Notamacropus eugenii: one gene and its partners. The protein of the gene in region 3 interacts with the protein of the main gene of each other region in a pairwise test. Links are inferred from orthologs where the notes say so. Each region holds a gene or a part of one and is shown on either strand. Other genes may lie near its edges.

Region 1 (10,445 bases), on a different chromosome or scaffold from region 3:
ACTATGAGGTGATAATAGAGATCACACTGAAGAAGGAAGGAAAAAAATGGGAATAGAAAGAAAAGACACTGGAGGAAAAAATAATCAGGGGAAATGTAAAAAGAAAATAAAAACTAGGCGGGGAAAGAGTAATACTCACTCATGTCAAAGAGGTCACGTGGGGCACTGCCATTGGTAGTAGGGTTAGAAGGACCACCAGCCCCTTGGCGGACTTTTTCCAGGTTCTGGACATTGACGTAGGAGGGATCATCAAAGAGTTCTCTACCTACCAAGGGAATGGGAGTTTGTCAGCCAGAACCCCAGAGTCTATAATCCCCTTAACCCTTTCCCCCCCAACCCCAATTCTCCAGCTGTTCTAACCTTCCCTTTCTTCATACCTGGTCCAGGAGTTGGGAGCTGTTTTCGAATATCAGGGTCGCCACTGGCTAGCTGTCCAACAGGCTATGGTGGCAAACACAACATGAGAACTGCAGATAACAGTAGCCTATCTTATTCCCCTAGTCCCAAACTGACTTTCTTGCTCAGCTTAGGCAACATACCAAAGTGGCTCCTAGGTGGTTGGTGGATTGGGTACTAGGTGGGGGTGGACGAGGAACCCCTGGGGCAGCTCCATCCCGAAGCCTCATGTCTACTACCCCACCAAGAGGGGGCTCCTTCCCTGGGAAGTCATTGTAGTACTGATGGTCAGGTGGTTCCTCTTCCTCCTCATCCCAAGCTGAGCCATCAAAGCCAGCCATCCTCGAAGAAGAGAAAGAAAAGGAAAGTTCATTCATTTCCTGGCCCTAGCCCACACTGGCCTGCAGAGAGAGGATCTCATAAAAGTGGAGATTGGATATTTCTCCCCCAAAAGATTGAAGCAGGGCAGCAGCTAGAATAAGGACTGAGGCTTTAGCTCTCTAAAGGACCTGAGAGGAGACCAAGTACTATCTCCTAACTTCACAGATGAAGTTACTTGTCCTTGGGCACTCATCTGGTTAGTTTCCAAATCCAGCCCTCCATCCACTACCTCCTGCTGAGTCTTATCTAGAGGATACTAGGTGACATTGTAGACAGCACTGGACCTCGGATCAGGAAGATCTCAGTGGAGCTCATTACTGGCTACGTGACGCTAGACAAGTCACTTCACTTCTTTCTTGATAGTGCTTACCTCACAGGGTTTTGTGAGGATCAAATGAGATATTTGTGCAAAAGGATTTGCAAACTTTAAAAGAATTATATACTAGCAGAATAACAGATATTAGCTATTAACTGACCAGGGGTTATGGACCCAGAGTCTGTGGAAGACGTGGCTTATCTAGAAAGAGGGACAGCCTAGATTCCAAAGCAGTTCATCTTCCCAAAGAAATGATAACGAGAAGCTACCATTACAGCAGCAGCGCTAGAGATTAGACCCCAGGAAAGAATTCCCAGAAAGCCAGTAGAAAACATGGGAAAGAAAGAGGTAGGGCAGGTAGGACATGGGGTAACTTCCTCCATTCTGTAAGATTCTTTTAGCTCTGAGAAAGAACCTGTCAAGTGAGCTGAGGCAAGAGGGATAGCACACCCCTCATCTCCACTGCTTAGAAAAACTGGCTTTCTTCAATGCTCAGCATCTGTGCCACCTCTCAGCTCAGCGTCACTGGCTTCTTTGTCCCCCACCCAGTTGTTACAGCTTTCTCCTCTTTGTCTAATTTAATTGTTTAATTGTATTGATTTGTTGAAATGTTGTACTCTCCCATGCAGAATGGAAGCTCTGTCAGAGTCAAGGGGATGAACTGATTTTTTTTTTTTGGTCTTTTTATCCATTTTTACTGGCATCATGCTTTGCACAGAGTGGGAGCTTTAGAAAGGCTTGCTAGACTGAATGTGGTAATGTGGGTTTCTACTATATTTCTGAAGTATTTTTTCCTCTAGGGAAATATTCCCACCCCAATGCCCACATCCCTAGCCTTCATCCTACCTGTCATGGGGAGTGACAAGCTTGGGTGGGTTCCTGAGGTATTGTTTGAAGCGCAGCTCAAAGGCCTGGCCAATGGTGCTGATGACATCCTGTGCTAGTCCTTCTGGACACTCCAGGATGTGGCAGGCTATGGGCACAGCAGGCATTGTCCTTATAAGCAACAAGTGCGGGGCTAGGGATGTTCAGGCATGACCCATCCCAGCCATCCCAGGCTCCCTGGAAATAGCACCCACTGGGCAAGGGAAGCTTCAAGTGCCCTCAATGACCACAGAACTAGTAATTGGAGAAGGAACCCCTGACCCACCCTACCAGATTCCCACTTACCTCTCTGATTGACAGGATCTTTGGCAACATAGGCAACATACTCAGCAGTGTCCTAGGGGATCAGGTTCCGAGTCGGGGTAAGATCAGCCAGCATGGCTTTACATGTTCCCCACCAGCCCACAAAAACCTCTTTATTCCCCCCCCACCTCTACCCAATCATTCTGGGTCACCTCAATCCAGAGTCACTCCATTTTTCCCCAGCCACCATCTCTTTTTACCATAACTCACCGGATCCCCACCGGATGCAAATGAGATTGACTGCATGTGGTGATTGGCAATGATCTGAGAATTTGGGGTGGTGGGGTAGTGTTAGCAATTCCACTTTGACTCACATTCTTCACTCCTTAGTATTCTCTGTCCTACTAACTCCCTTATTTCTTTCTGTCCCATCCCCTGGTCCCTTCCACCAGGGGCCCTCTAACTATCTCCACCCAGATACCCAGTTCTTCCCTCACTTTCTCCCCTTGAGTTTCTCTGACTTCTCTTCACTGGCTAGACTGTTTCCCTCTCCCCAACCCCCCCAGGCACAACAAACCTGTTTACAGTCTGCAGCCATGAGATTGAGGCTGCTGGTAGAAACAGTCAGGGTGATAGGCATGCCAGCAAACTTTAGATTACTCCTCCCCAGTATGGAGCTGAGTGGGCGGCTACAGGGCTAATAAGAAAGGATCCACAGAAAATTTGGGGGTTAAAGGCTACAGGCCTACCCCTAAAGCCCCAATTTCTATATCCAGAAACCCATCTCCCCTCCATTGCTCCTGGCTTCCCCTCCGTCTCTCCTCCCATCTACTACTCTCCACAACAATGCTCCCCAGGTACCTTTCTCCTTCGTGCAGCCCCCTTGGCTCCTGGCACAGCCTCACACACCAGACTGATGGCTTCTCTGAGAAGACAAAGACTTGCTTAGAAGCAAAGATTTCCCTGGGCCCCAACATAGGTCTAAGGGAGGGGAAGCCAGGGACAGACTCCAGGGGCACTCTGAGCTCTTTGTAGTGGCTGATTGAATTAAGGGCCTTTAATATTTGATGATACTAAGGAGCTGCCTGCTGGTTGATTGGATTAGGGCCTCTGAGCCCAGTGATGGACCCAGTCACTTCCCCTTAACCTCAACCCTTCTAGTCACCAAATACTAATTTTCCCTGAAACCATGCTCCCACCCTTCAGGGTCTTTGTAATCTTATGGGCTGGCACACAGTAAGCCCAGCCAAAGTTCATTGACTCAAGTGCGTGCCTCCTCCATTCCAAGGCTGAAAAGGCAGAGGGGAACCTAGATCTTCCACTGGGCTCCCTTAAGTGCCCCATCCCTCAGTAATAATGCTCTTCCTGTGCTATCATGACCACAGAGCCCCAGGAGCTCACTAACTGCTATGAGCCCCAGCAACACTGACTGGCCCCCATGCCCCCAGACAGACACCACTTACCTGGTAACCTGGGTGCGAGTACTGAAATCCAAGGCCCGCATCGACTGGAGGACCTCCACACAACCCATGTACTGAGGGAGGGGGAGGGAGGGAAAAGTGGAGCATTTGACCTCTGCCAACTACTATCAGCACCACCCTCAACACACATGCACACAAAAGACCCCCCAGGATTTTCTCCTATATTAATTCCAGAATGTGAACGCCTACCCACTGACTATGCTTGGTATCTGAATGTAGAACACCCCTGGTCCCAGTGTAGAGGGAGAGAAGAAGAGGTTAGAGAAACAGTCTATGTAAAGTAATGGGGAAAGAGAAATCTTTAGGTGCTGGGAAAAGACCAGAATGATATGGAGGAAGAGAACAGGAAATAAGAATGTCTGCACAAGAATTAGGGGAAAAAAAGCAGGGGGGAAACAGAAAGGAATGGGAAATAGCAGCATTTGGGGCAGGGAACAGGACAGGTAGGAAGTAATACATGGAGGGACCTGAAGAGGGAATTTGGCACATAAAGAAAACATAAAATCCAGCAAAACAAGGGACTTACAAGGGTCTCAGGCAAAAGAAGACTACATGGGGATTGAGGGGAGGAATATTTGAGAATACGGACATACTCACTCACCCGAACAAGGTAGGAAACCCCAGGTCCCATGACCTTGTCGTTGGGATGTAACCAACCCCGAGTTGGCTTGTTGACAAAGCTCCCGTGACGAGTCCACTCCTCACCCCCCAGCTGGCCCCCTTCCACCCGAGTCCTCCGCCCGCCGCTCAGTTTGTTCATGTCCTGGAGAAGAGGTGAAGGGCCTGAGTCCGGCCCAGTGCCCCCTGCATTTCCTTCCCTATCCTCAGGTCCTTGTCCTGACTCTTCAGAGGGACCGAGCCGCCCCCCAGTTGGGTTGGCTAGCTTCAAATTGCTCATCCGAGGGAAAAAAGAGCAAAGGGTTGTAGGACTATCATCCACCAGCACTGGGGGCAAGATGGGTCCCAAGGAAGAGGCAGATGGTGAGGATAGCTCCCCAGGGGATAAGGATCCCAGAGTCCCCTCTTCCAATGAAGACAGAGATTCATTCCTAAGAGGGTTGTACTTGGGCTTGGGGGGCAGGAGATCCATGGCTAGAGGAGAAAGGAAACTGCTGTCCAGCCCGGCCCTCCCCCCAGCCAGGGTAAGGGGGCCGGGCTGGGGGCATTCCCAGACCCTTAGTCTGATCTGCTATATACAGGCAGATAGTCACAGAACCCTTGCAGAGAAGACCACCACTCCCCCAGCTCAGATCCAGACAAGCCCTAGCTCCAACCCCGCCTAGCATGAAGCCTCTTTTCTAGCTGTAGAAGAGAGAGCTGGACCAGGAACAGTTTGGCTCCTCCCCAGGGGAGGAGAGTTAGTAAGTGGAGGCCAATCAGGAGGACAGTGCTGACTCACAGGCACAGAAGGGGCAGAGCCCCCCACCTCTACCCCACCCAAGGCCTCAAATCCTAAGGGAGGGAATCTCTGTGGCCCTCCCATTTCCACATATCCACCCACCCCCCCTCTTCCCAACCAAGCATAATCAGGAATGGGGAAAAGGGAAGGGATGATGAGAAGAGAGAACAGATCTGAAAGTCTAATGCCTGACTGCGAAGGGGGAGGAGAAGACAGGAAGCCAGGGCAGTGGGGAAGGAAAGAGAGAAAGACAGGGAAAGGGGGCAATCCCTGACTTATTTCCCTTTCCCACCCCAGTTAAAAATTCTGGCAACCTTGCCGTGGGGAGAAGATCCCCAGGGAACCTCAAGGCCATTAGCTAAAACTGCCATAACAGCTGGAGATATAGTAGAAAGAAAATCTCTCTGTGCTGTCTGGGAAACAGGGAAGGAAAGAAAGATAGGAAGGGGTTGCTAAGCAAAGGGGCAAGATGAGCAGAGAGCCAAGAGAGACTGAAAGAGCCAGGGAGCAAGGCCAAACCAGTGCATTGGTAGAGCCAGCCCAACAAGGCCTCTGAAGGAAGCATGTGGGATCCTGGAGAGCTTGGGACTGTAAAGAAAGAAGGCAGGTGAGATGAGTCTCACCTTTTAAGCCTCTCCACATGACATAAGGGAAGTGAGCCAGCCACAAAGACAGTCCAGCCCCCACCTGTACTACCTAGGGCATTACTGGGGGAGTTCAGCTGTCAGTTTCCTCCCAAGATGATGTTTCAACCAAGAGAGCATCACTTGGAAGGTGGGCAAGGCTCTGTTCTCCCGAGTCCAAACGTTAGGACACATCACTACCCAACAATTCTCCTGTCCGTGGGGTTCCTCTCCCTTTGTATATGGGCACTTACCCATTCCATGAAGATCACAGGAAAGGAAAATCCATTACTGACCACAGGATCCTAATTATCCTAATCCTAGAGGTCTATGCTCTCTCTGATTCCAAAGCTAGGCTTCCAGACTCCTCCCCATAGCCACCAGGCACTGATAGTAAAGGCAGATTTAAAAGCAAAGAGGGTCAAAGGCAGCCCCTGGCATCCATGGGCAATGTCTTATACATATATATGGTAATCCAACTGCCACTTCTCTCCCAGTTATCCCTAAATCTCCCTTCTGAGGATGAGTGCCACTCTGAAAAAGGGCTCTACTCCAACCTTCACGCTTCCCCCATATTCTAATCATACAGAAAAGGAGAGTTTGGGGAGTCGGGTTTGAGTCTGGACACAGGAAACAGTCCAAAACTCATTTCCTCCACCCACAAGTTCCTGACTTCCTGCCAAACCAAATGGAAGAGAGGGCAGAAATTCCTACAAAGGCAGACAGCAAAAAAAGACTAGAGGAACTAAATTCAAAATTAAGCCTCAGGTACATTCCTAGCTAGGGAGAGGGGGAAAAGCTTTCTTTCACCTCCTAGGCAAATTGTACTAACAGAAGCAGTGGAAAGAATGGTGGATTTGAAGTCAGAATACCAGGGCTAAAATCCCACTTCTACTTGGCACCTGCAACTTTAGGCAACCTCTCCATGCCTCAGACCCCTCATCTATAAAATGAATGGAAGGGAAGAGGATTGGCTTGGATGGTCTCTAAGGTCTCCTCCTGCTGGGAATCTACGATCCCATAAATGGGGGAGGGGAGAGAAGAGAGAAGGGTTTGTTTCAACTCCTAACTGGGAGAAGAAATTTATCATCCCCATTTCCTCACTCCCCAGGGCTCACTCAGTTCACAGATCACAGAAAAAAAAGAAGACCCAAAAGATAATTACCCCGATATCCTACATACTTTGTGCCAAGACTCTTGTACTGTCTAGAGATACTCACTTTCTTATAGCTTTCACAGTAAGAGAGTAGTGAGCCATATATAACGGAATATTTGGAAAAGAATGTAGAAGAAACTCAGTTCCAGAGAACCAAAAACTAGATGACTTTCAGAGGTTTGGGGTGGGGGTGGGGAATATCTGCTTTCTCTGCCCAGGGGGAGGAGAGTACAGTGGCAGGGAGCAGCCGGAAATGGCAAAAGCCTCAGGAATGTTTCCTGGACTGAAGGTTAGGCAGACATAGAAAAGACGGGGAATACCTAAACAAGAAAACAGGAATGGGGGTTGGAGTAAAGTCTCTAGGGCCAGAGAGCAAAAAGCATCCCCCCACACCTCCCAATTGCAAAATACCCTACTCTTTTAGGGTAGGTAGGGAGAAGTTACCCATTTCACAACCCCATTCCACACACCAGGGAATCCATGGCCCAGCCCAGCTCCTGAGGTACAGGTACGACATGCAGCTGTTTCTGGGGTGGAGCCGGTCCTGGGAAGGGAAACTTAGGGAGTAGATCTGGGAACTCGTGAGGGATTTCCCATCCCTTCTCCCCTACCTCCAAGCCCAACCCACTTCAGGTCATCCCACACCCAAGAATAAAATTAAGGCCCAAAGGGGAGGGAAAGTACAGCCAATCTTCAATCCCTCAGATTTGAGTCAGGGTTAGGAATAATGAGGCAGTAGAAAGAGCCTTTGGCTTACAGTTGGCAAACTTAAGATGATTTCAGCCTCTAATACATAATACTAATGTGATCATGTCACTTAAACTCTCAGAGTTTCAGTTTCCTCATGTGTAAAATGCAAATGAGAAAATTTGCACTGCCTCTCTCAAAGGAATTTAAGGGGATACTGCTATATATCTCATTTATTTAAATTATTACCACAATATGGGGTGGGGGACAGGGACACAGGCACCAGGAACTGAGGAGAAAACCTAGGCTGGATGGAAGGACAGAGTGTGATTGAGAAAGGAAGCCAGGTTTCTGGGTTTGAAGCAGGGACCTTTCAGGTTACAAGGATCGCTTCAGATTTTAATGAGCACCTTAGAAGTATCTCTTGGGAGGTATGGTTTCAGAGAATTATAAAGGGAAAGGTCATCCAAAATATTTTCCAGCTTACTTTTCCAGGCTTAGTGTTTCTCTACTTCACACACTCTGTCTTATAGCCAAATTAATCTGCTTACTATTCTAGTCCACAGCATATCATCTTTCATCTCTGTACCTCTACACAGTACCTTTTGCATCCTTGTAATGCAACCACCTCTGATTCATAAAATGTCTAGGTTCATTTAAAGTTCCACTCAAATGCCACTATCTCCAGGAAGTTTATCCTGATTTCCCCCAGTTGCTAAAGGAAATTATTCTTATGGAAATTACTTTGTGCATAATTTATATTTAATTTTCTACCTGCATGTTGTCTCCTCTCATTAGGAGGCAAGCTCCTTGAAAGTAGGAATTGTTAGGTTTTTGTCTATGCATACGTAGACAAGCACTCTGTGGGACACACAGGGGAGCTTAATAAATTCTTACTGAATTAAATGGAAATGGGCCCCTACTGAATTAAATGGCCAGGGAGGAGAAAGAAATGAGGTATACAGAGGGGTCGTGACCTAATGAAGGGCGGAGTTCCCCAGAATTCTAGAAGGCACTTCGGGGTGGGGTACGGGTAGCCCGGGACTAGCCGTAAAGAATAGTTGGAGGGCCCCCTCTCGGGGTAGGGGCGTTCAGGGAGTGTTAAGATTAAAGAGGGCGTGGTTTCGGGGGGGAGGGATGAGGAAGGCAAAGTTTTCCAAAATAGGGGGCGGGAGGGGGAAACATTTAGGTCGGTGACAACTTTGAGGGGTTCGGGGAGCCCCTGAACTGGGGGCTGGACTTCCGGGGATGGGGTCCCAGAAGGCGGGACTTATGTATGGTTGGCCGGAAGTGGGATTCCAGTGGATTGGGGGGAAGAATATTAAATAAAGATGATAAAAATTTCATACTCACCAGGGCCGCATGGGGTCTCCGCTCCGCGCCGCGGGCCGGTCTCACTCCGGATCTGGCGGCCGCAGCTTCTTAGAGGAGACGCTCCAACTTTCTCCCCCCCCCCCAGGCCCAGCCTCCCCGAAGAAACTTTATTGCACTCACTTCCGGCCTGACTAACCTTTGACCCCTACGCATTACGTGTCTCCTCCTTTCTCCATTTCATTGCCCCGCCCCTCCCGTAGAAGTGCAGGGTGGGGCCCTCAAGTAATGATACCCAATAAGAGCTTGTGTATGGTCTCATGGGCGTATACGAAACATACTGTCTGGCCCTATGGACCAATAAGAACCCGAGGTGGGATAGAGTGAAAACTATAAAAGCCAATAAGCGTCTCAAAGGTGGGCTCTTTTTCCCGCCTCCGATAGAATGAGCCAATTAATTGAAGGAGCGGCAGGTTTGAAAGCGAGGCCCCGTAGAGTTGTGGTGCGCGCGCGCGTAGCTGTAGTTAGGCGGTTGGAGGCGCGGGGTTGGGGTCCCCCGGAAGGAGCAGACATGTCGCATAAACAAATTTACTATTCGGACAAATACGACGATGAGGAGTTCGAGTACCGGTCAGTTCGGGCGTGAAGGGGGTGGCCATGCTAGGTAAAGTAGGCAACGGCGGGTGCGGGCGCGAGGACCATCTTAGCCTTAGCGATGGACGGGAGAAAGAGCTAGAAACGCATGCGCTAGAGCCAACTGGGAAGTTAGACGCATGCGCAGGAAAGGTTCGTAGTGAGGCGGGGTAAATTATATTTAGAACGCATGCGTGGAATCCTCGCGGTTTGATAAAGTTGCAAAGGAAGGGGACGAAATAGTGAAGGCTTGTTACCTTTACCTGTGCTGGTCTGCCGCCATCATCCCCCCACCCTCTTTCAAACTGACAGCTCTCTTTCATGTCTGCCTAAGGAATGCCAGGTGGTTATGGAACTGAGAGTGTGGCAGGCCCGCCGGTGATATCCATTAACCCCAAGAAAAAAGGGGGTGATTGAGGGCTCCTTTGCCCCTGGAACTGTGAGGGTTCAGTGAGTGGGAAGGACGTCGAAAGCGTTAAATATGCTAGTAAATAATGGATTGAAGGGAGGAAGGATATGACAGATATCCACATAAATTTGAAGGACCATTTAGAAAAAAGGATTAGACTTAGTCTAGGTGGCTTCAGAAAACAGAACTAGGACCTATTGGTACCTCTGACTAAGGACTCCCTTCTTAATTATTAGTAGTGCTGTCAAATGTAAAGCATTGTATTCTATGATAGTAAGTTGTACCTGCCACTGCAACTGTCGGGGCAGATCCCATGTTAACTAGATGTAGAAGAGAAATTCTTTTAATGGATTTTAATGGCACTCTTGCAAAAATTCTAAGACCTTTGTGTTTTGGAAAACAGATAATTTACTAACCACCTATTGGAACGTTTTAATTTGTTCTTGCTATAATATAAAGGTTCTTAAGATATCTCCAATTCTTTCCAACTAGATTTCAGGTTCCTTAAATACAAGGAAAAGACAT
Region 2 (10,337 bases), about 450 Mb from region 3:
CTGCTTTAAGAGCCTGAGAGGGACTGAAATGATACTTTGAACTGTCTATCTCCCAAATTATTCTCATTTTTTAAACATCAATGATGAGAATACCAGTCAAGAGTAACAGAAACCAACCTTGGTCTGTATCTGGGACTATTTTCCCTGTAGATCACAAGATCTCATTCATTTACTATCTTCCTATTACATATGGTGTAGTGGAAAGTGAATAGTTGACCTTAACTCATGTACTAACCAGCTATATAATGATGGAGAGTCCACTTAACCTCTCTTAGCCTTTTTCTTAATGTGTAGAAGAATGAGGATGATAATGGATCCATGAAAAGGGAGCTGGGTTTAGAACTGGAGGACCTGAATTTAAAATTCTGACTTTGCTACATATTGCCAGTATGACCTTAAACTAATCAGTTAACCTCCATTGGAATAGTTAGGTAGCACAGGGAATAGAGAGCTAGAACCAGAGTCAGGAAGACCTGAGCTCAAGTTTGGCCTCAGACGTTTCCTGCAGTGTGACCCTGGGCAAGTCACTTAATCTTGCCTGCCTCAGTTTCCTTAGCTGTAAAATAGCTGGATAATAGCACCTCCCTTCTAGGGTTGTGGGGAGGATTAAATGAGATTAAATTTGTAAAGATCTTAGCACAGTCCCTGGCACATACTAGACACTTTGTTTTCTTCCTCCACTGTAAAATGAGGGTCATGGCCTAGATAATCTCAAAGGTCTCCTCTAACTTTAAATTTATGATAATATCTGCCTGGCTTATTGTGAGATATGTAAAGAAGTAGCTTGGAGAAAGTAATGCACAAGAGAGTGCTTTGTAAATTGTAAATGGTTATGTAAATGTGAAGTATCATTAGTCTCCTACATTAAAGACCTATTTAGATGAATGCCTTATCATGCTGTGGAAGTGGTCTTAGGTTCTCAGAGGCTATATTTTCAGAGGACAAGCTCTGGTATTGTTTAGATCATTTCAATCATGTCTGACTCTTTGTAATTCCATTTGGGGTTTTCTTGGCCAAGATACTGGAATGGTTTGCCATTTCTTTCTCTGGCTCATTTTACAGATGAGGAAACTGAGGCAAACAGGGTGAAGTGACTTGCCCAGAGTCACACAGCTAGGAAGTGTCTGAGACTGGATTTGACCTCAAGTCTTCCTGACTACAGGCCTGGTGCTCTAGCCACTGTACCACCTAGCTACCCTGGAAGTTCTTATCAATTTGAAAGTATTTTTATTATAGGGCCCAGAAGAAGATTGTATGTCATTCAACAACTTAGCTCTATTTGGAGGGGTTCACCATTAGAGGGGTGATCACTGCACCAAATGATGACTTTGGAGGGGGCGCAACAACTCTTGAAAACATCCACTAAAATAGAAGGGACAATGAATGAGTTGTATTAAGCACAGGATTATGAATGGTACCTGGGATTTCATTAGAATAGGGAACTTCCAGATGGGGAAACTCCCTCTACTATTGTAGGTCAGCATCCTCTCTGCAATTTATAATCTTAGATGGTTATCTAGAGCAGGGAGAGGTTGTGACTTGGCCAGGATGCCATAGCCAGCGTGTGTCAGAGGCCAGACTTGAAACCAGGTCTTCTTTGCTTCAAGACCAGTTTTCTATCCATTAACCCACAACACCTCCTATGATCTACTTTGGTAAAAAGAAATACTAAAATGTGACTGTTATCATAATTTAGTAGAAAGTAAGCTTCTTTAAGAGGGAAGGACTGTTTTCATTTAGTCTTTACATCCCCAGACTAGCACAGTGCCTTGCACTAGTAGATACTTAATAAGAGCTTGTTGGTTTGGATTAGATCTTTGGGACATTCTATTCCATTCAACAATCGCTTATTAAGCATGTACTATGTTCAAAGCATTGTGTTAGGTGTCAGGTCACACAAAGAAAAAAAACAACGAAGTAGTCCCTGGCCTCAAGGAACTTACTCTGCTGGATGGAATTATGTGCACTGATAAGCAAATACAAAATGCATACAATTAAATACTAAATAATTTTGGGAGTAAGGGGAAGAGAGTGTTAACAGCTAGGGGGATAAGAAAGGCCTAATGGTTCCTGAGTTTAGCTTTAAAAGGAGCCAGGGCTTCTAAGAGGTGGAGATGGAGAGGGGGAACATTCTTTGATTAGAGTGGGAAGAGGTCATGGTAACCAGTACCGAACTAAATCCCCTTACTGTTTATTTAGATAGGACTTTATAGTTTCAAAGTGCTTTGTGTGATTGTCTCACTGCAATGAAGCACCTACTACGTGCCAGATACCTGGCTAGGTTCTGGGGGCATAAGTACAAAGAATGAGACAAGAACTCACATTCTAATGGAGGAGACAAGTAGGCAGAGTATACACACACACACACTACATATAATGTGTATAGTGTATGTGCACATAGATAGTATGTATTATATAGCATTATATGACACAATTCTACATATATTATGTGTCATGGAGTATATATACTATGTATACCATAATGCTATATATACTATATAGTATGTATGCTACATAGTATATACAGAATGTACATACTATAGTACATATAGTAGATATTGCATATATGTATGTATGTGTATGTATCTACATCATCGTCTGCATCGACATCTCTCTCTCTCTCTCTCTCTCTCTCTCTCTTTCTCTCTCTCTCTCTCTCTCTCTCTCTCTCTCTCTCTCTCTCTCTCTCTCTCTCTCTCTCTCTCTCTCTTTCTCTCTCTCTCTCTATCCATATCTAGTAGTTAAATACAAGGCTGTTGGGGCAGGGACCAGGGACTATTATCCCTATTTTATAGAAGATGATTCATTGAAGGTTCATTGAATCTAGATAATGGGATTTAGGGATGGCAGGAACTTTTAAGTACACTTCCTTCCTTACACTACAGATGAGGAAAATGAGACCTAGAGAAGTGAATTGATTTATCCAAGTTTACAAAGGCAGAAGTGGTGGAACTTGGATTCAGGCCCAGATGCTTTGGCTCCAAGTCCAAGGCTTTCTCCCAAGACCGCCCTGCTAGTACTTGGCACTGGAATCGAGAACTTCAAGTCTCCTTTTCCTTTGATTTTCCTGCCCTACCTCTCAGTTAACCTAGGAAAACTCATTGTCCCCAGAGGTATAGGGATAACCTGAAAGTATCAATAGACTCAAGAAGGGAGAACTAGGTTAACTGATGAATAATTGATTTATCAAAGGTTATTAAGGGGAAGTTGCAGATGTTTGAGGGGGTCACATGCAGAAACTTTTGAGGTGAAATTCACTAGTAGCAGACATCTCCACCCTCAAACTGTTCTTCAAAAACAGAATCCTAGGCTGAATGGTCCACAGGATTTCCCCAGGGTGGCATTTCTGAAGTCTTTATGATTTCCAAGCTATGGCAGTCCCTTCCATCAAGGAAGAGTTTTACTAACAGAAACATGTTTCTTCACCAATTCTCCAAACTTAGAGGATGTTCCCAGATGACATGTCACTGGAATGACTGTCCACATATCCCCTTGGAAACTGCTGGGACATTAGTGACAGATTAATGTGGGGGTGGCCATATGGCCATGAAGTTCTGCTCATTCAGACCCAGGGGAGTTAAGATGGGAATGTGAATCTTTTGCCTGAGGCACAGGCTTATTATAAACACAGTGGTCACAGATCTCTGTTAACTTGGGTCCTGCTGAGAAGCAGGAGGATGGACTAGATAACTCCTTAGGGCCCCTTGGGATAAGAGATTTTAGAGTCTGCACTCTGCTTTTCACTTCCATAGAATGGTTCCCTGAGATTCAGATGTTACTGCATAAGAAGGGGGCAGAGTAGAGAGTAGGGATGACTTGTAATCCTTCCGGTCCTTTTTTTTTTTAAGGACAGCTACACTAAACTAAAACGATGATAACTTGAACATGTTCACAACTCAGTCCCTTTGGCTCATCACCCAAACCTGTTGGCCTCAGCAGGACCCTAGCCCTGGGGTTGAACTCCAGAGCAGAGAGGAAGTTGCAGCTCTCCAGGAAATGCACTGACTGAGCGGGGGAAAGGACAAACAGGAGAGAGGGAAGCAGGGCACCATTACAAATACTCTCATCTTACCATTCAGACCAGAGAGGAGGATGGGGGAGAGAGGTAGGGAGGGAGGTTAAGGTACAGGAGTGGGAGGGTGAAGGAAAGAGGGAAAGAGAGAGAAAATGGTTAACAAAAGAGACAAAGAAGAGAGATGATGATCAGAAGAGAGGGTGGAAAGAGAGAGAAAGAGAGAAGGAGGAGAGAGAATGAATGGGTAAGGAAATGAAAGATCTGGGAGAGAGAAAGGAGAGGGTGGGGAGAAGGGAGAAAAGAGAGGAAAAGAGAGAAGGAAAGGGAAAAAGACAGGTAATGGAAAGGAAGAAAGATGGGGGAAAAGAGGGAAAGGAGAGAAAAAAGAGAAAAAGGATGAGAGAGGAAAAGGGAGCGAGGAGAGATCAGTGAGGAGATAGAGGGAGAGAGGGAGGAGTAGGGGAGGGGGGAGTTGGGGAGAGATGCAAATTAAAATCACGTCTCAGTCCAAGCAAACATAATGCTGCTGCCAAGTGGGCCCGTGGCTGTCCCAATGTTCTCGAGCGCCAGCTCCAGAGCTTTATCATCTGTTCCAAGAGCGTCCTAGGCAACAAGACTTCCATCAGCCAGGGAGATGCAGCGAGCAAAGGTGTGTTGCTTCTTTTCCTTAGGGTCAAGGTGGAGGGTTCCCTGGGTGAATTACACTGGGAAAGAAGAGATTTCAAAGGCTGTTTGTGCAGACCCTCTCTCTTAGTGCCCCCTGTGGGACTTGGCCCCCTACTTTTGACATCCATCTCTGCCTGGCTAGAGATGAGAGGGAAGTAATACTTCATAATTCTGTAGCATCTTTTGGTTTGGGTCTCTGAGTTGACAGGGGGCTGGAAACATGACTTCTGGGCTTTCAGGGCATTATTCTGGGGCCAGGGTTTGTTGGGGGTTGGGAGAGGGATAAGCTTTCTAATCTCTTTGAGACTCTGGGACTGGGAGAACAGAAGGTTGCAGGCATAATCTGAGGCAAGATATGACAGATTCTTGTGTTCTTCTGAGGGTCCTTGTGAGCTTTGATCATTTCAGGGTCTGGGACTAGGCATATTGGGCTATAAGACTCACATATAAACTGGAGGGTCACTCAGTGCCCTCACAGTTCAGAAAGAGGCAAAACTATGGGAAGACCCCCCCTAGGAGGGCAGTGAAAGTGTCTGGGGAAAGATCTACTGTCTGGCATAGAGGAAGGAGACAAAAGTTTTTTTTCCAGGATCTGGGAAGTACTATTTTGGGGGAGAGTTTGGCCACACACATTTGGCAGCTTGGGAGAACAGTTCAGGTTCTCAGTCCTTGTACCCCTTTTTTCTGCAGGGACTGAAGAACCTCTCTCTGGGGACTTAGTAGAAAGAAGGAAGGAGGGTAATCATTTTCTGCTTTCCCTTTTCCTTCAAGAAAATGGGAATAGAATATTAGAGTTAAAAAAGAGCTTAAAATGATCCCAATTCCTCATTTTATATAGGAGTTAACAGACTCAGAAAGGTTGAGATTTCCCTAAAGTCATACACTAATCAGCGTCAGAGCCAGAACTCGACCTCAAGCCTCTCCAGGGAGCTTTCCATTACAGTCCATTGGTCTTTTTTTGAAGTTCACAAACCACAACCCTTTTAAGATTTAGGCTTTTTATGTCAAGATCAAGGGTTAAAAGTAGAGTCCCCTCATTCCTGAAAAATGTCGGTATGGTTTGGCATAAACAGAGGACTAATGAAAAATCCGAGGGTTTATGAGCACAGGTTGAGGGGTGAAGATGGGGACTCGAACACCTGGAGAAACCGGGCTGAGCCTCTTTCATGGAACCCCAATAGGACCTTCTCAACGTCCCCTCCAAACCTCCAAGACTCACAAAGTTCAGGTCTGAGTGGCAAACAAAAGGCCAGTGAAGACATAGAGCCCTAAGAATTCATCTGGACTAGAAAGACAGAGGAGGAAGAAGGAAAGATGTGGAAGGGATCATAAGACTGGGACCCTGCGCAACGGCCAGGTTAAAAGCAAGAGGTCTGGAGGTGGAGCTCAGGATCTAAAACTGAAATGAACGTAAAAGGCTGAGAGAGAATGAGAGGGTTAAGGCAGAGGCTGGGAGCTGCTGGGGGTCTGGGAGAAAGGGAGAGGAGGAATGAAGAGGGATGTGATAAAAGGGTGGTTGGTGGCCAATAGCCCACTAGGCAGGGAGGGGTTAACCGAGGCTCTGGAGAGGCTGGGCTGGGAACATGGGAGGAGGAACCAGCTCAACCCATTGTTCCCTCAGCTACATCAGACTTCGCTTCGACAGCTCCACCTGCCGTGTTCTACCGACACCTCCTCGGCCTCACCCACCCTGCAGGTAAGACTGGCCCTATCTGGCTGGAAGGGGAGGGGACGGGAGGGAGGGACAGGGGTTGACTTGGGGAGGTGGGGTAATGCCTATTACCGAAAGGGGTTGGGGGAAGGTAGAAGGAGGAGGAAACTTTCACCCTCCCTCTTCTGCTTTCTCTCCGCCTGGAGTTAGGGCTGGGAGGAGCTCAAGGAAAAGGAGGGGTCTCTCTCTGGAGCTCCTTATCAGTCTCCCTCAGAAGGCACCAGGGCTTGGAAGAGGCAGTACTGTAAACTTGGCTGTGACCAGGTGCCACAGAACCGCCATGGTTCTGAGGCGGGGGGGAAGGTTCTGCCTGGGTCCTTGGGGACACCCTAAGCTTACTCTTCGTGTTGGCTCTCTATCTCCTTCCCCCCCCCACTTCCTGACCATCTTTGGGGCTCCCCCCTCCCATCCCCTACTCCCTGCTTTCTTCTTAGACAATGCTTCCCCGGACATCTGCTTTCTGAATGCTGGATGTTGGACTCATCTACCTTCTCCTTTCTCTGGGGGTGAGAGTAAGGGTGACATTTTAGAATTCACCTGGTGCTGTCCCTGTCACCTTTTCAGTTACCTACTCATTCTTGTTCAGTCATTTTCAGTCATGTCTGACTCTGTTATCCCATTTGGGATTTTCTTAGCAAAGATGCCGGAGTGATTTGTCATATCCTTCTCCAACTCATTTTACAGATGAATAAATTGAGGCAAACAAGTTAAGTGACTTACCCAAGGTCACACAACGAGTGTGTGTTTGAGGGCAGATTTAAACTCAGGAAGTTATTGTCTTCCTGACTCCAGATTTGTCTCTTTATCTACTGGCCACCCAGTTTCCCCCTGACCTACTGCCCCTTATTCATCTCAATTCAACAAACATTTATTGAGCCCTTAATGTGTCCAGGGCATGATTCAAGCCCTCATTCCTGTCCTTTAGGAGCTTATGGGCTAGTAATTGTACATAAGTAACTATAATGCCACTTAGAATGTGAAGGTGACTTGAGAGACTTGACAACCAAGTGCTCTGAGATCCCAGATATAAGAGAGATAAAATGAGTCTGGGGAATAAGTGGTTGCAGCTTCATAGGAGAGGTGATATTTGAATCCTTTGCAAAGATCCTACTTTCAATTACCTGCTCTGGGTGAAGGTTGAGGAAAGAAATGGTGATAGTAGTTTTTTGTGGAGCTTTTGACCTGGGACTTAAAGGATGGGCAAAATATCCACAAACAGAACTAGGCAGAGGGAGAGAGGGAATGGTATTGAACAGAGAGGAAAGAGTTCTGACTTCTTTGGTGAACAAGTTCAGTTTGACTAGAGCTCAAGAAGTGTAATGAGAGGGAAGAGCCTTAAAGGGAGATTGAGGCCAGCTTTTCCTACTGAGGAAGCAGTTTTCTGTTTTTTAAGGTAAAATATTATTTTTTTTATATTTAAATTTATTTATCTTTAGTTTACAACATTCAGCTCCACAAGCTTTTGAGTTTTAAATTTTCTCCCTCCCCTTCCCCCCTTCCCAAGATGACATGTACTCTGATATAGGCTCTACATATACATTCATATTAAATATATTTTCACAATAGTCATGTTTTAAAAAAGAATTATAACCAATGGAATGAACCATGAGAAAGAAGAAACAAAACCAAACCAAAAAGAGCGAACAAAGAGTATACTTCAATCTGCATTCAGATTCCTAATTCTTTCTTTGGATGTGAATAGCATTGTCCATCATGAGCCTTTCGGAGTTGTCTTAGAACCTCGCATTGCTGGGAAGAGCCAAATGTATCACAGTGTAACTGTGTACAATGTTCTTCTGGTTCTGCTCCCCTCACTCAGCATCAGTTCATATAAGTCTAGGAAAGCCAGTTTTCAAAGCTTCTGAAGGGGAGGGAAAGTGTCTGATTTGTGGGCTCTGATTGTGTACCTGAACCCTTGCTCTGTGTAACTTCTTGATCTAGGCAAATCTTTAAGGGAAACGAGTATGGAGTAATTACATCTCCTTTATAAATTTAGGACTGGGATACACCTTGTCATAATCCCTTCCCTCACCCATTGATCCATTTTACAAAGAGGAGGATCCTGGGCTTCTGATTCATGGGGTGGAAAGAATGAGGCTAGGAATGAGCACTCCCTTTTGCTTGGAACCAGGCAGAGGTGTGTATATGTCTGGGGTGGAGAGGAGATGATGCAGTGGGTGGGGCATTATGGACAGGTGGGAGCACTGGTTTGGACAAGTACTCTGCTCACCTAGTGACTGAATCTTCTGATGCTACAATCAGCTAGAAGCCTTCAACCCAGCCTCCCAATCATAGATTTTAGGAAGGAGAGGAGGTAGCCAAAAGTTAGATTAAATGTTTATATGTTTCAGGGATTAGAAGCTGCCCAAACACTCTCTGCATTGTAGGAAAGTGGAACATGAAAGAAAGGTGGTATTGGAGTGGTTTTTTTAAATGATGCTCTTTCGTTTTCACATTAGACAAAGGTTTAGGAGCTCTATTTGAAATCAGTCAAGAAGTATTTATTGAAGCACTGCCACATACCAGCCTTGTACTAGGCAACAGTGCAGTAGAAATATTTAACTGGATCTCTGATTTCGTTGATTTGTGGGTGATCACTCCAATGGTACTGTTTACAACTTCAGCCTATGAGGATCTGTCCAGTTCCCTGCAAGCTTTTCTCTAGTTCTTTTATTATTTTTGTGGATTCCAGTTCATTTTGCCTGGAGGCATTATGGGATGTAGATCTGGAAAGGAATTAAGGGATCCCAGCCTCAGTTTACAGAGGAGAAAATTTGGACCTAGAGAGATTTAACATGTGAAGCCTGAGGTCTCACAGGTAGAGCTGGGATCTGGAGAAAGGTATTCAGACTCCAAATACAGTGAAAACACTTCACTCTGCTGCCTCCTACAGAGTGGAAGCTTATGCAATACTTCCTCATAACAGGCTAGGTAATGTAAATATTATCCTGATTTTAATAGACATGGAAACTGAGGCTCAGGGTGGGGTAAAGTAACATAGTGATTCTCCCAAGGTCATACAGTTCACGAGTGGCAAGATCATAACTTAAACCTGTTTTCTGAGGTTCCAAGTTCAAGGTCCCACTCTTCTTTCCCTACCAAATGTTCAAATGAAAATTGCTAAAGGTGTTCAAAGAGAGGGGAGATTTTCCCATCTGGGATTGTAGGAGAAATTTCACAGAAAAGGTGGGTAATTGAATTAGACTTTAAAGGACTGGAAGGATTTGGATTCTGTGAAAAAAAGGGGGAGAGGGTATTCCTAGGTGCTCAGTCAGAGGTGCTGATAACTAGAGTAATTTGGAGTCACTTTTTATGCTTTGTATTTTGTATTCCCAGGGCCTAGTACAGTGCCTTGCACATACTAGGTGCTTAATAAATGCCTTTGGATGAACTTTTCTGAACTTCAGGCAATCTTCAAGTTGGAAGAAATCAGATATTTGTCATCTCAAGAGGCAGATTTCTATACCTTCCCTATTCCTCAGGACATAAAGACCCTCAATGGGAATTCCCTCTACAGAAGATATTCTAGCCCCTCTGTGCCTTAGTAGATAAGAGTTTTGATGAATTTCTTTTAAAAGTCTCATCACTTTCTAGTCACACCTCCTCTCTCTGTGTGTATATAAATAAATCTAGTGTCCAAAGGATACAAACAGTTTTCAAAAGCAGAAACCCAAACTATCAGTAACCATATGGGAAAATGCTCTAAATTACTAATAATATGAGAAATGGAAATTAAAACAACTTTGAGATGTCACCTCCCACCCATCAATTTGGCAAAGATGATGAAAGATGGAAACAGTTAGTGCTAGAAAGGTAGTGGGAAAGCAGGCACAGTAATAGTTTGTTGGCGAAGCTATGAACTGCTGCATCCATTAGGAAAGCAAAATGGAATTGAACATAGAGGAGTTGATCTTTTATGTACCCAGGAAACTCAGAATGTAATCA
Region 3 (10,844 bases):
TGAAACACAAGCAACATATGTGAAATATTACTCTTTTTTTTTGTCTATGCATTATCTCCCAGGACAAAACATTTTATAAATAAGCATTCCTAGAAAAGTCATATTTTTTACCTAAACAAGAAAAAATAACATCTGACTTTTCAGGAAATAATAGCATACAGGTCCAAGACTGGCCATCAAAAACTGGAGAAACTATACAGCTCTATTATATGCCATGTTCAAATTTAAAATACCTGTGTGTTCTGTGACAGATTCACTCTTTAAACTCTGAGAACCTTCTCTATATTCAAAATAAAATCTAAAATTCTGGGCAACAGAGGGAATGAAAACCTCTCTCTAATCTGGTGATCTGAAACTTTGGAAAACAAGTTGTTTTGTTTTAATTAGGGTTACAGCAGGTTCCAATTTGATCATACGACCTCCAAATATTTGTCTAGTAAATATTTTAATTCTGTAAAGATTTTCTCCTATTATTAAGGTATGCTCATTTTTTACAATTAAGAATGTTTACTCTCCTTATATTTTATTTTTAATTACCGCCGTACCTGATTCTACTCTTCCACCCCCCATTCAAGAGATCTAGGTAAAAGGTTTAAGAGCCAAAACTCGGTTCCTATGTGCAAGGAGTTAACTGGCACCAGCTGTATACACTCAAGTATTACACACAAGATCCTCTGGACCTGTCATCCCTATTTCTACTACTTAGCTTAAACTTTTCAACGTGTCCGAAAAACATCCGCCATCTCAAATTTACTATAATGCCACCGGGTGCTTTTTGCTTTTTTAAAGGAATCCCCGCCCCTAATTTTCCCCAGAAGTGCAACGAAACTCTCATTCCCTTCTCCCCCATCCACCCAGACAAGACCAAAACAAAGTCTATCAGATTACAAGTGATAGCATTTGTAGAAATATATTGCTTATTAACGATGTGCCAAGAAAGTGCTACAAATAATAATGGGGGAGGGGGGGGAAGAGAAGAGAACTGGTTCAAAACAAACACAGGGAGGGCGCGCTCTGAGGTTTAAACCCACTCACACACGTTGTCCTACTTTTTAAGTAGCACTAAGCAGGGTGTCTGTGCACTTCTCAATGTTGAGACACAGATTTCGCATGCACGTGTGTAACGTGCATCTACACACCCACAAATATACACACCCAGCATTCGCATTCTCCCTCTCCACCTTTCTAACCCCTCCACCTAGAGAAAAAAAAAAAAGAGGGAGGGGAGGCAGAGTGGAGAGGTCCTGAGGCCCGCATGGGAAGGCTCCGGCTCCAGCAGCGGGGCTCGGGGAAACCCCACGCCAGAAGGCGCTAGCTCGTGGGCCCCAGGTCACGGCGTGGATCGGTCTTTCCCGCAGCGCTGCGCTGGGCCCCGCCACTTCCTCGGGCACCGACAGGGGCGGGGGAGGGAGGAGGAGGCCGGGGGAAGGGGAGCATGGAACGACGCAGAAAAACAATTCCATCTTAGAGACGCCGACAACAAGAGCAGAGCTTTTCTGCAATTGTGGGCAACAAAGGCAGATTCCGGGAAAGCAAACGCTGGATTAAGGGGGGAGGGAGGGTGGGCAGACAGAAGGAGGATTATATAATATTTTTAATAAAAGAAGTCTAAATATCGTCCGAGGATGGGGGGGGCACCTATTTGTGGGATTAAACACAGAGGGAGACCACGTTTTCACAACGCATCCGGGGAAAACCCACCCACCTCCCAAACTCCCTCCTCCTCCTTCCCCCTCAGAAAAAAAAAAAAGGATGTTTTGAAACGTGTCCTGGAGCTGCAGCACAGTATTTCTAGGGCAGATCGTTCAAGTGTTCTAACTTCTCTTTTTCTGATACTATTCAAAAGGTTTGTTACATTTCAGGACTCTTTCCCAACTCCTCCACCACCCCAAGGCCATCCAGCAACGCCTCCCCCCCCCCCCCCCAGCCTCCAGGCACCCCGCCTGCTGCCACTTAATACACAGAGGAAGATTGTGGCCCTTTCCCATTTGCACTGCCTAACTCACCAAGGGGGTTTATCTTGATTAAGTAGGGAGGGATGTGTGTCTGTGGGGAAACCTTCGGTTCCGGGGTAACTGTCAGTGCATAAGGGTCCCCTAAGAAAGGAAACTCCCCCCTTGCAAAGCGGTCCCAAATGAAATGTAACCAACCACAACAAACAGGCTGGCACACTGCTTCAGTGTGGTTCCCGGGAAGAGAGTATTGCTTTTTAATCAAATGGCTTGGAAAAACACGAAGCTCCCGGCCTCCTCCAAATGTCCGTTCCCCCCACCCGCCAGACAACTGGGGGGTAGGAGGGGGTAGCTTTGGTCTTTGCCGGAGAGCAGGTACTTGTGGAAAAGAAAAGTGGCCTTTGACTGTTGTTTACAATCCCCTGGGTACAAGTTCGAACCTTCCAAGAATGGGAACTTTTAGCAAAGCTAAGCAGACAAACTTGATACAAATGTTAATTACCAAATTGAGTCGAGTGAGTGTCTGGGTTTTGTTTTGGAGAAAGAAACAAAAAGTAAAGCTATTTCACTTAGATGAAAGCGCTTAACCTTGGTGGGGGTGGGGGCAAGCCACCGTCTCCCCCCCACTCAACTTGCTCCTCCCTTCCCCAACTTCATAGACCCCCCCCCCACATACACAGAACCAAATTAAGCTAAAAAAGAGACCAGCCTTGAACTCTAAATTCTAAATAGACTTGAAGATGCAAATTCTTGAACAGAAAAATAGGACAGCGGCCCCTTAAACTAAAAGTTACCGCAGTGCAAGACATACTTCACAGTAGAAACACTGATGAGAGAGATACTCACTTTCTCCATTTGTTGGCCAAAGGCAAAGTGTAGAAAAGAGAAACAGAAGCCCCCAAAGTGAGGTCGGGGACCCTCTTCCGGCGCCAGACTTCATTCCTTTTATTTAGGACGAAATTCCCCTTTCTCCAAAAAAAAAGGGGGAAAGGGGGGAGTCCGAAACTCACACTGCCGCCCCCACACCCCTTCCAGAAACAAGGGAGAAAAAAAAACAATAATCCAGATGAGAAACAGATCCTTCGAAAATTGCAATTTTTTAAAAAATGATTTCTTTCCTCGTGGTGAGTCGATGGGTTGTCGATGCTGTGGCTGTCGAAGCTGACACACACACTCCCCAAACAACGCTATTTTGATGCTTTAGATATGTAGGTATTTGTGGTGTTTGCTACAGAAAAGGTAACAAACCCCCCTCAGCGCTGGCTGCAGTGATACAATGGACACAGAAGTAGCAAACATGAAGCACATTGAGACTGGCAGTCTGCATCTTCAACCTCCATTTTCAAACACACACACAGAAAGGCAGTAGGGGAAAAAAACTGCAAAGAAAGGGAAAAAAAAAATCCAAATCAATCCTTGCAAGGAAAAACAAGCCCAACCAAAAATAGAGGGAAAGGCTTCCAAACGCCGCAAAGTATCCACGTCGGAACGATGCGACGCAGTTTTAAATATCCCCCAAAGTCCAGGTTGCTGGAGAGGCTGAAAATGGGTAAAAATGCGGAATAAAAATGAATGAAGAGGCTTCCCCCTCCTCCTCCTCTCCTCTCCCTCCTCCTCTCTCACTGCTGCTGCTGCTACAGGCGCCTTCCAAAAAATCCAGGACACACACAAAGCCCCAGCAGCAACACTTAAGCTGTTCAGCACTCCTGCTGCTCCGGGGCTGGGGCTCCGCGTTGCATCCCCTCTCGCGGCGACTGCTTTCCCATAGCAAACGTTTGTAATTCCCTTTTTGCACACACGCACACCCCCCCACACACACAAACACACACACACCGCCCCCCACCTTCCTCTCTCCGGAACGTAGGGGGGGGATCCGGTTTGCTGAAGGTCAAAGCCGAAGAGGTGTTGCAAGGGTTTGTAATTCCTCTGGAAAGGGGTGTGGAAGGAGAAAGGTGGGGAGAGAAACGAGCGGGATAAGAGGGTCTGGCAAGGATTTGACTAAATTGCTGTTGCAAAGGGGCAGTTTGCTCGCAGCTTCGCTCTCCCTCTCTCTCTAGTTCGCCTGGTGCGCTCCTCTGCTTGCCTTTTTTTTTTTTTTTTTTTTTTTTTTTTTTTTGCTCAGCGGAGTTAATGCTGGTAAACAAGAGCCTCAGCTTCGCTTTGCCGCTGCTGCTGCTGCTGCTGCTGCTGCTGCCGCTGCTGCTGCTGCCGCCGCCGCTGCTGCTGCTGCCACACACTGGGGGCTCGCGCACGCGCTCCCGGAGGCACGCACGCACACACACTCACTCACACACACACACACACACACACACACACACACACACTAGCAGCAGCAGCAGCAGCGCGCGGCGGGCCCCAGCCCAGACAGGCGCGCGCCAAAAGCAGGAGCCTGGGATTCCCGGGAACGTTCGGAACGGAGCCGCAGCGTGAGCCCGTAGTCTGCAAAAAGCTGACTCCACACGCACCCCTTCTCTTCCGTCCCCTCCCCCTCGCCCCCACCCTAATACAGACGCACGCACACACCCTCCCCTCCGACTTGCTTCCAAAAACAATGCCCCTAGCTTCGCGTCTCACCGAGATGGAAGAGATATATGTTATGTATCCGTATAGAATTGGTATTTGTATGTATTTTTGTCCGTACGGAGGAAAGGGTAGAAAATTGAGAGGTCTCTAAAAAAAAAAAAACAACTGGAAAGCGCATTCACCCCCCATTTCTTGAAAAGCTTCATTGTTTCTTGCAGCTGTTGCAAAAAAAAATGCATGCCGCATTTTTTCGCAGCATGCTTTAAGAACTCAACGTGAAGGGAGGGGGTGAGTGGTGAACTACACCTTGGCAAAGAAGGAAAGCCCCGCAGTCTTACCCTGGCTCTCCTTTAAGACATTTTTGAGGGACGGATGGAAATGTTATGGTTTTAGGAAGCCAGAGTTTCGAGTCCTAACGGTGGAGGAGTGCGCAGACGGGGGCGGGGGGCCGCCGAAGGGGGGAGTTCCGAGCCGAGGATGTGAAGAACTGCCGCCTTGCCCAAGAGACAAGAAGGGGGTGGAAAGAGCCCAGAAAGGCAGCAGAGACCTCCACCTACGCCCAAGGGAGTCGTTTCCACGTCGGCCGCTAGAGGGCATTGGAAGGCGCCAGGAAATTGTTTGCAGCCCCAATAACATTGCCTTCAGGGAGAGGAAACGCGGTGGCCGTGATGAAAGCAAGATTTTCAAAATAGCCGCTGACCGTGTCCATCCCCCAATGCCTCTCGGAACCCAAGGCAACGAATCTAAAGCTCGGGCGTGTTTACTGTATAAGCAGCTTTGTCCCCGCATTCTGGGACCACCGCGCGGGGATGCTGGGGGGGCGGGGATGAGTTGAGAGATGCAACTGTTTCCATTGCTTGTGATCTTTACTGGAGATAGTGGAGGAGGCTACTTTGTATTTATTTGGGATTCTGTAACTCTTTACGGGAAGATTTACCTTTCTACCGGGCTCTTTTACCAGCCAGTATCAATCTGTGGTATTAGCATGGGGCAGTACTGAGGTTTATTGACCAGTTTTCTTTGATCTGATTGCACACACTGATAAAAGGTTGCTTTGCTTTGTCCCCCTTCTGGTTCTTAGAACACTGAATCTGAGTTTGGAATCCACTGTATAAACTGATTTTCGCCTGTTCTGGTTCCTTCTTGGCAAATCTCCTTCCTTTTCAAAACCTACTAATCCCTCTTTCCTTCCATGCCCTTCAAGATAATCAATTTTCTAATTTGTACATGCCACCTAAATGACATGGAAACCAAATCCAACCCATACGATTGTCATCTACCATTTTAAACAGCCTTGTTGACTGCTAACCAGAGGGTATTTCACAGAGGCTGGTCAGAACAGGAGGGCTGTCAGCAAAGGAATGAATTCGTGACAAATACCTGAAACTAGTAACAACTCAGGCAGGAGAGGTGAGCTCTAAATTCATGGATTGATTAATATGGAATCTGTGCTTTGGAAGTTGTTTGGGTTTCATGATTCAGACTAATTGATATCAATAATAAATTTTAAAAAGTAGATTGCATAAAACTAAAAAAAATCACAGATATCTATAGTCAAAAAGAAATGATTTATCTCATAAACAGTAGTGTTCTCTGATAATAATAGGGAAGATCAGTCTACCAAAAAAGACTTATTTAAAATAAATTATATTTCTTTTATCATTATTTTATATATCATTATATCATGTATCATTCTAGAAGATTCAGGAAATGTCATTATTACAGTGGTCCTACATTTATAAGTGATGAAAATTTAATGCCTAAGTGCAAAACAAAAAGCTCTTGAAAATAAAATGTTATATCTTTTCAGATGTTGATTTTCTGTATTCTTTCCATCTTGGAAAATGAGTTAAATTCATTAGTAAATTTTACAAAAGAGAAATCAGCCTTTTCCTCTTTAGTTGTTATTTCTTTAAAAAGTACTAATTTGAAATTGTTTAACTAATGAAAGAGAGATGATTATTTTTGTAGATTCCTAGCTTTCAGCAAAGAATAAAACACTTGGAAATCTTTAAAAGATTTCTAAAATTCACATTTATTTCAAAATGAGGAATTGAGCATGAGTAACTAAAATAAATTGTACAATTTTTAAATTGTGTACTTAGAGAGTTTGCCTATCATTTTATTTTTACTTATTTAAGAAATATTAAATTGAATAATAAATGAACAATTTTATGTCCTAATTATATTTTTTCAGAGATGTTTTTTTCTTTTAGAAATAAACTAAGAAAGAAAGTCTAATATTTAGAACTTGCAAGTTAAAGTTGCTAAACAAAAATGTAATTTTTTCTTAATGCTGTGGAACAAATATTTGCCATGCAAATTAGCTTTTTGTGGTCATCTCTAGTGACCAGCAGAATGTGGAACAGCCAAAGAAGTGTATAAAAATTAAGGTTTTTCAATAAAAAAATTTATTTTAAAGTTTTTTTAAGTACCTGTGTGTCTTTTAAAAATGAAAAATCAGCAAGATGTAAAGTTATTTTACCCACTGAGATCATTTGTTGTTTCTGACATTTTTGGAAGGGGAATTTAAAATAGGTTTGTCATTAGAATGAAACTTGGTTGTATGGACAAAAACCTAATGTGCAGCTTTCTTTATTGGTCACACATGAAATACCCAAGTGAGATCACTATTTAAGAAGTAGGAAAACAATTCATGTCAGAAGAAATCATTCTGTGTTGTTTGTTTTTCATGCACCCTTTGCAGCAACTCCCTCACAGTTAAAATAGTAACATATAACATCTTGTTTGTTAGTATTTTATCAAGTGCCTCTACAATTTATTTTGGAAGGGTAGTATGTCCCTGTTTGCTTTTTATAAAACTGGTTGCCTTAATGCTTAATAAATCTCTCAGACCACAACCAGGTAATCTATACAAAGTGAAAATGGAGTAAGATGCATCCAAAGGATGAAAAGTCAAAACAAGATAAGTTCCTTTAAACTAAACCTCCCCCTCTTCAAACATCAACCCTCCAGACTCTTAGCTATGCATACATCAAACATCCACCAACTGTTCGAGCTGAAACAACAATATATGCTTAATCAGAACCAAATACTCAAAAACTCAAATCAGAACCATATCCCCCAAACAGACATTCCAGAGGAACAGTGTGTGCACATACCACTTTCAATTTAAGACAAAAACAAAAGAATCATGAAACTAAAAACGTCAAGGAGTGTTATATGATCTTCCATTCTGTCGGTCTTAAATTAATTAAACAGTATAACCATGAACTAAATAATTTTGAAATATAGCAGCATTTTAGTTGAAACACCTCATAACAATGTAGACTATTAATAGAACTGGCAATAATCCTGGAACCTAACAAAGCATAATTTGCTAGAAAGTAGAATTTAGTGATACAAGGTAAGGTTGTCTATGATCCCTTTCAAGAGGAGTTAATTACTGAAGTCATAGAAAACTGGATAAGGTGGTCTCAGACCTAATATAATCCTTCAACATGGAGAACAGCATTCAAATCCTCCTCATTTTTCTTCAGTATCTGAGGATAAAGCCTTCTCTTTCTCTACCCCCATATTATCTCTTTGGGCAGCATTCATAATGAGTAGAAAAATCTTTCTATCACAGCCATATATTCTGACACTTTTATACCAACACCAAAACAAAACATGAAGAATTTGTCCGATTCCATTTCCAACAGTTACCCTATATGGAGTGTGGGTAGGAGTGGTACCCTGAGGAATCACAGAAGTGGCACACCCTAAGTATAGCATTACTCCTTCATGCTTCCAGAGTTTGGAAAAGGAGCATATTTTAGTCGACGTGAGTAGACTCCTATCTAGAGACTTTTCTCTCTTGTTTTACAGGAACCCATGCTCCAAGTGATGAGTTAGAAGCTCTTGGGCAAGTAGGTTGAGTATGAGACATTATATTGTTTCATTAAAAAAAAAAACTATTTTTATGTAAGATCATAGATTTTGAGTTGGGAAAAACAGGCTTTTAAATAGGTATTTCTCATTCATAAAGTAATGGAGTTGGCTCTAGAATGGACCAATTACTTGGATGATCTGAAAGCAATGAACCAAAATTCACTTTATCTTTACTCCTGAGATATATTTCAGTGGAACATACATCATTGTATATAATAAGCATGCTCTGTAAAAATGTCATTAGATTCAATTAGATTGTGAGATTCTTGAGGGCAGGGTCAGTCTTTTGCCTCTTTGTATATTCCTAATAAGTAATATGTTGCTTTTATCATAGTAGGAGCTTAATAAATGTTTATCAACTGACAAGTCAAAATTCTAAGTTCTCTTTATTTAATCTTATAATTTTAGAAATGCCTTAAAAGTAGAACAAGGCAGGAAATAGGACACCTGGGTTCAAATCACAAGTCTTCCAACAGATAGGTAACTTTTGGCAAATCACTTTTTGCCTCAGTTCCCTTTTCTGTAAAATTAAGGCATTGCACTAGACCTAAAATTTTATGATCTTTATTTCTGGTTGATCTTTAATTGTTAATACCTTAACTTTTAAGTTTCTTTGCCCTCCCTTTACCTAGTCATAAAAAGGTCTATGAATTATCACATTTGCACAGGCCTTAGTAGAGAGAGGCTAAGAGCAAACTGTGGGTGAAGACAGCATCTTTCTATAAAAACCTGTGAGCAGGGTCAACTGGACAAATAGAGGAGGAAGGAAAGAAGTAATTAGGTGGGGAGGCAGGTGGAAGAAAATGGCTTTGGAGTCAGAAGTTCCAAGTTCAAATACTGGCTTTGCCACTTTCTATCTATATGAAATTGGCAAGTCCCTTAACATTTCAGGGCCATAGTTTCCTGATCCATAGAAGGCATTAATCTAAACCTCTAAGGTACATCTCAGCCCCAAATCTACCATTTCAGGGATAGCTTCCAATCCCAAAATATATCTTCTACTAATACCTGAAACAAAATTAGGAATGATCCATCACATTTAATTCATTCTCTCTCTCTCTCTCTCTCTCTCTCTCTCTCTCTCTCTCTCTCTCTCTCTCTCTCTCTCTCTCTCTCACTCTTTAAGTCCTTAACACTTTAGTAAGAATGAAGTTATTAGATCATTTGCTGAATGATAAAGGAAACTAGCCATGAAAGTATATTGGGAGCAAATGGAAAAGTCAGAAAAATTTGAAGAAGTAGGAGATATATTTTGCTTATGGAAAGCCCTGCAGATGGGGTGTGTTGTAACTAATACAGCTGTAGGTTGAGGAGAGAGGTAACTCATTTTAGAAGCAAAAATTATTTCAGAATGCTGAAATGTTTGAGGTTTGGAAAAAGTTATGAAGCTTTTGCTCCATTTAAAATGTCCTTTTCTTTTTTGAGCTGGTGGCAAAGATAGGTCAGAATTTTGGGGGAGTGGGGGAGAAAGATATATAAAAAAGGTTCATTTGACCACTACAGTAATCAGATGCTCTATATTACCAGTGATTGGAACCATAATTGAATTTTTCTTCCTGACCCTGATAGGAAAGGGGAGAGAACAAGGATTTTCCTCCCACAAGAACAAGTGAAAAGAATAAATTTCTCCAAGTGCCTATTGCTACAGAAGCAAATGAGAATCAATGAAAAAGTTTCCAGGGATGACACAGCCAAGGGAAAGATAAAGAAAATAATTATAGCCAGGCCAGTGTGGAGTAGATGATAGTACAACACATTCTTTTTTGTCATTGGAGTACCAGCCCATGAAGAGGAGGGAACATGGGAAGTGGGAAATCTTTATGATGGGATATAATTCTAGGAGAAATATATTACTTCAAGAATAAAGATAGAAAGTTTCTCCAACTATCAAAATGTTGGTATTTGCATTGGGTGTATTATAGCCTTCAACCAAATTTCTTTCTCTAGAATTTAAAAGGGGTAATAAAAATAAGAGAGAAAAATTAATAGTCTATGTGGGAGATTTTTTAAAAAAGTTTATTGTATTTGTTTTATCTTGTCTATTGCTGTTTCTGTTGATAATAGCTTCTGTTGTGATAGAAGAAAGTCTTGTCTAAAGCATCATCTTTAGAATGTAATTTATCACTTAGTTTTATACTGTATTGTATTGTTATCTGATTGTTTCCAATACCTATGTCTTATCTTCCCAACTACATAAGAAGCTCCCCCTCTTTCTGCTCCTCTACCCCCCTTTTTTAAAATAACTTCTTTGTATCCAATACAGAGTTGGACACATATTAGGCATTGAAAAAATACTTGTTACACTAACAAAGAATGTCTGCAGCACAAAATAGGATGTCTTGCGACCTCTTACATACATTGTAACCATTCTCCCACCTACCCAGGGTAAGTTGAAGTTGAGGATTTAATTTGTTTCAATAGTCCTGAGGGTAGACTGTTTAAATTTTGGTATATATTTATAGGGTTTGGTGAAACTAA

The links.
Region 1: the proteins of IGF1R (region 3) and SHC1 interact in a two-hybrid assay, tested with the Homo sapiens proteins (4 studies listed by BioGRID and IntAct). The link is inferred for Notamacropus eugenii from reciprocal best matches to the Homo sapiens genes IGF1R and SHC1.
Region 2: the proteins of IGF1R (region 3) and KCNIP3 interact in binary tests that used the Homo sapiens proteins (3 or more experiments, as listed by UniProt). The two-hybrid records come from large-scale screens. The link is inferred for Notamacropus eugenii from reciprocal best matches to the Homo sapiens genes IGF1R and KCNIP3.

What each region holds. Positions count from the first base shown.
Region 1 is NC_092873.1:379,058,509-379,068,953, forward strand, and holds the start of SHC1 (SHC-transforming protein 1), read right to left. Parts: upstream 5,105-10,445; 5' UTR 4,793-5,104; coding exon 4,304-4,792; intron 3,756-4,303; coding exon 3,685-3,755; intron 3,147-3,684; coding exon 3,083-3,146; intron 2,919-3,082; coding exon 2,799-2,918; intron 2,546-2,798; coding exon 2,492-2,545; intron 2,316-2,491; coding exon 2,264-2,315; intron 2,067-2,263; coding exon 1,940-2,066; intron 739-1,939; coding exon 540-738; intron 442-539; coding exon 378-441; intron 266-377; coding exon 140-265; intron 1-139. Other genes in the region: CKS1B (cyclin-dependent kinases regulatory subunit 1), read left to right, coding at 9,324-9,508. UniProt on the Homo sapiens protein: Signaling adapter that couples activated growth factor receptors to signaling pathways. Participates in a signaling cascade initiated by activated KIT and KITLG/SCF.
Region 2 is NC_092872.1:606,295,505-606,305,841, forward strand, and holds the start of KCNIP3 (calsenilin), read left to right. Parts: upstream 1-6,056; 5' UTR 6,057-6,170; coding exon 6,171-6,377; intron 6,378-10,337. UniProt on the Homo sapiens protein: Calcium-dependent transcriptional repressor that binds to the DRE element of genes including PDYN and FOS. Affinity for DNA is reduced upon binding to calcium and enhanced by binding to magnesium. Seems to be involved in nociception.
Region 3 is NC_092872.1:155,732,307-155,743,150, reverse strand, and holds the start of IGF1R (insulin-like growth factor 1 receptor), read right to left. Parts: upstream 4,659-10,844; 5' UTR 3,796-4,658; exon of another isoform or gene 3,332-3,795; 5' UTR 2,893-3,331; coding exon 2,799-2,892; intron 1-2,798. UniProt on the Homo sapiens protein: Receptor tyrosine kinase which mediates actions of insulin-like growth factor 1 (IGF1). Binds IGF1 with high affinity and IGF2 and insulin (INS) with a lower affinity. The activated IGF1R is involved in cell growth and survival control.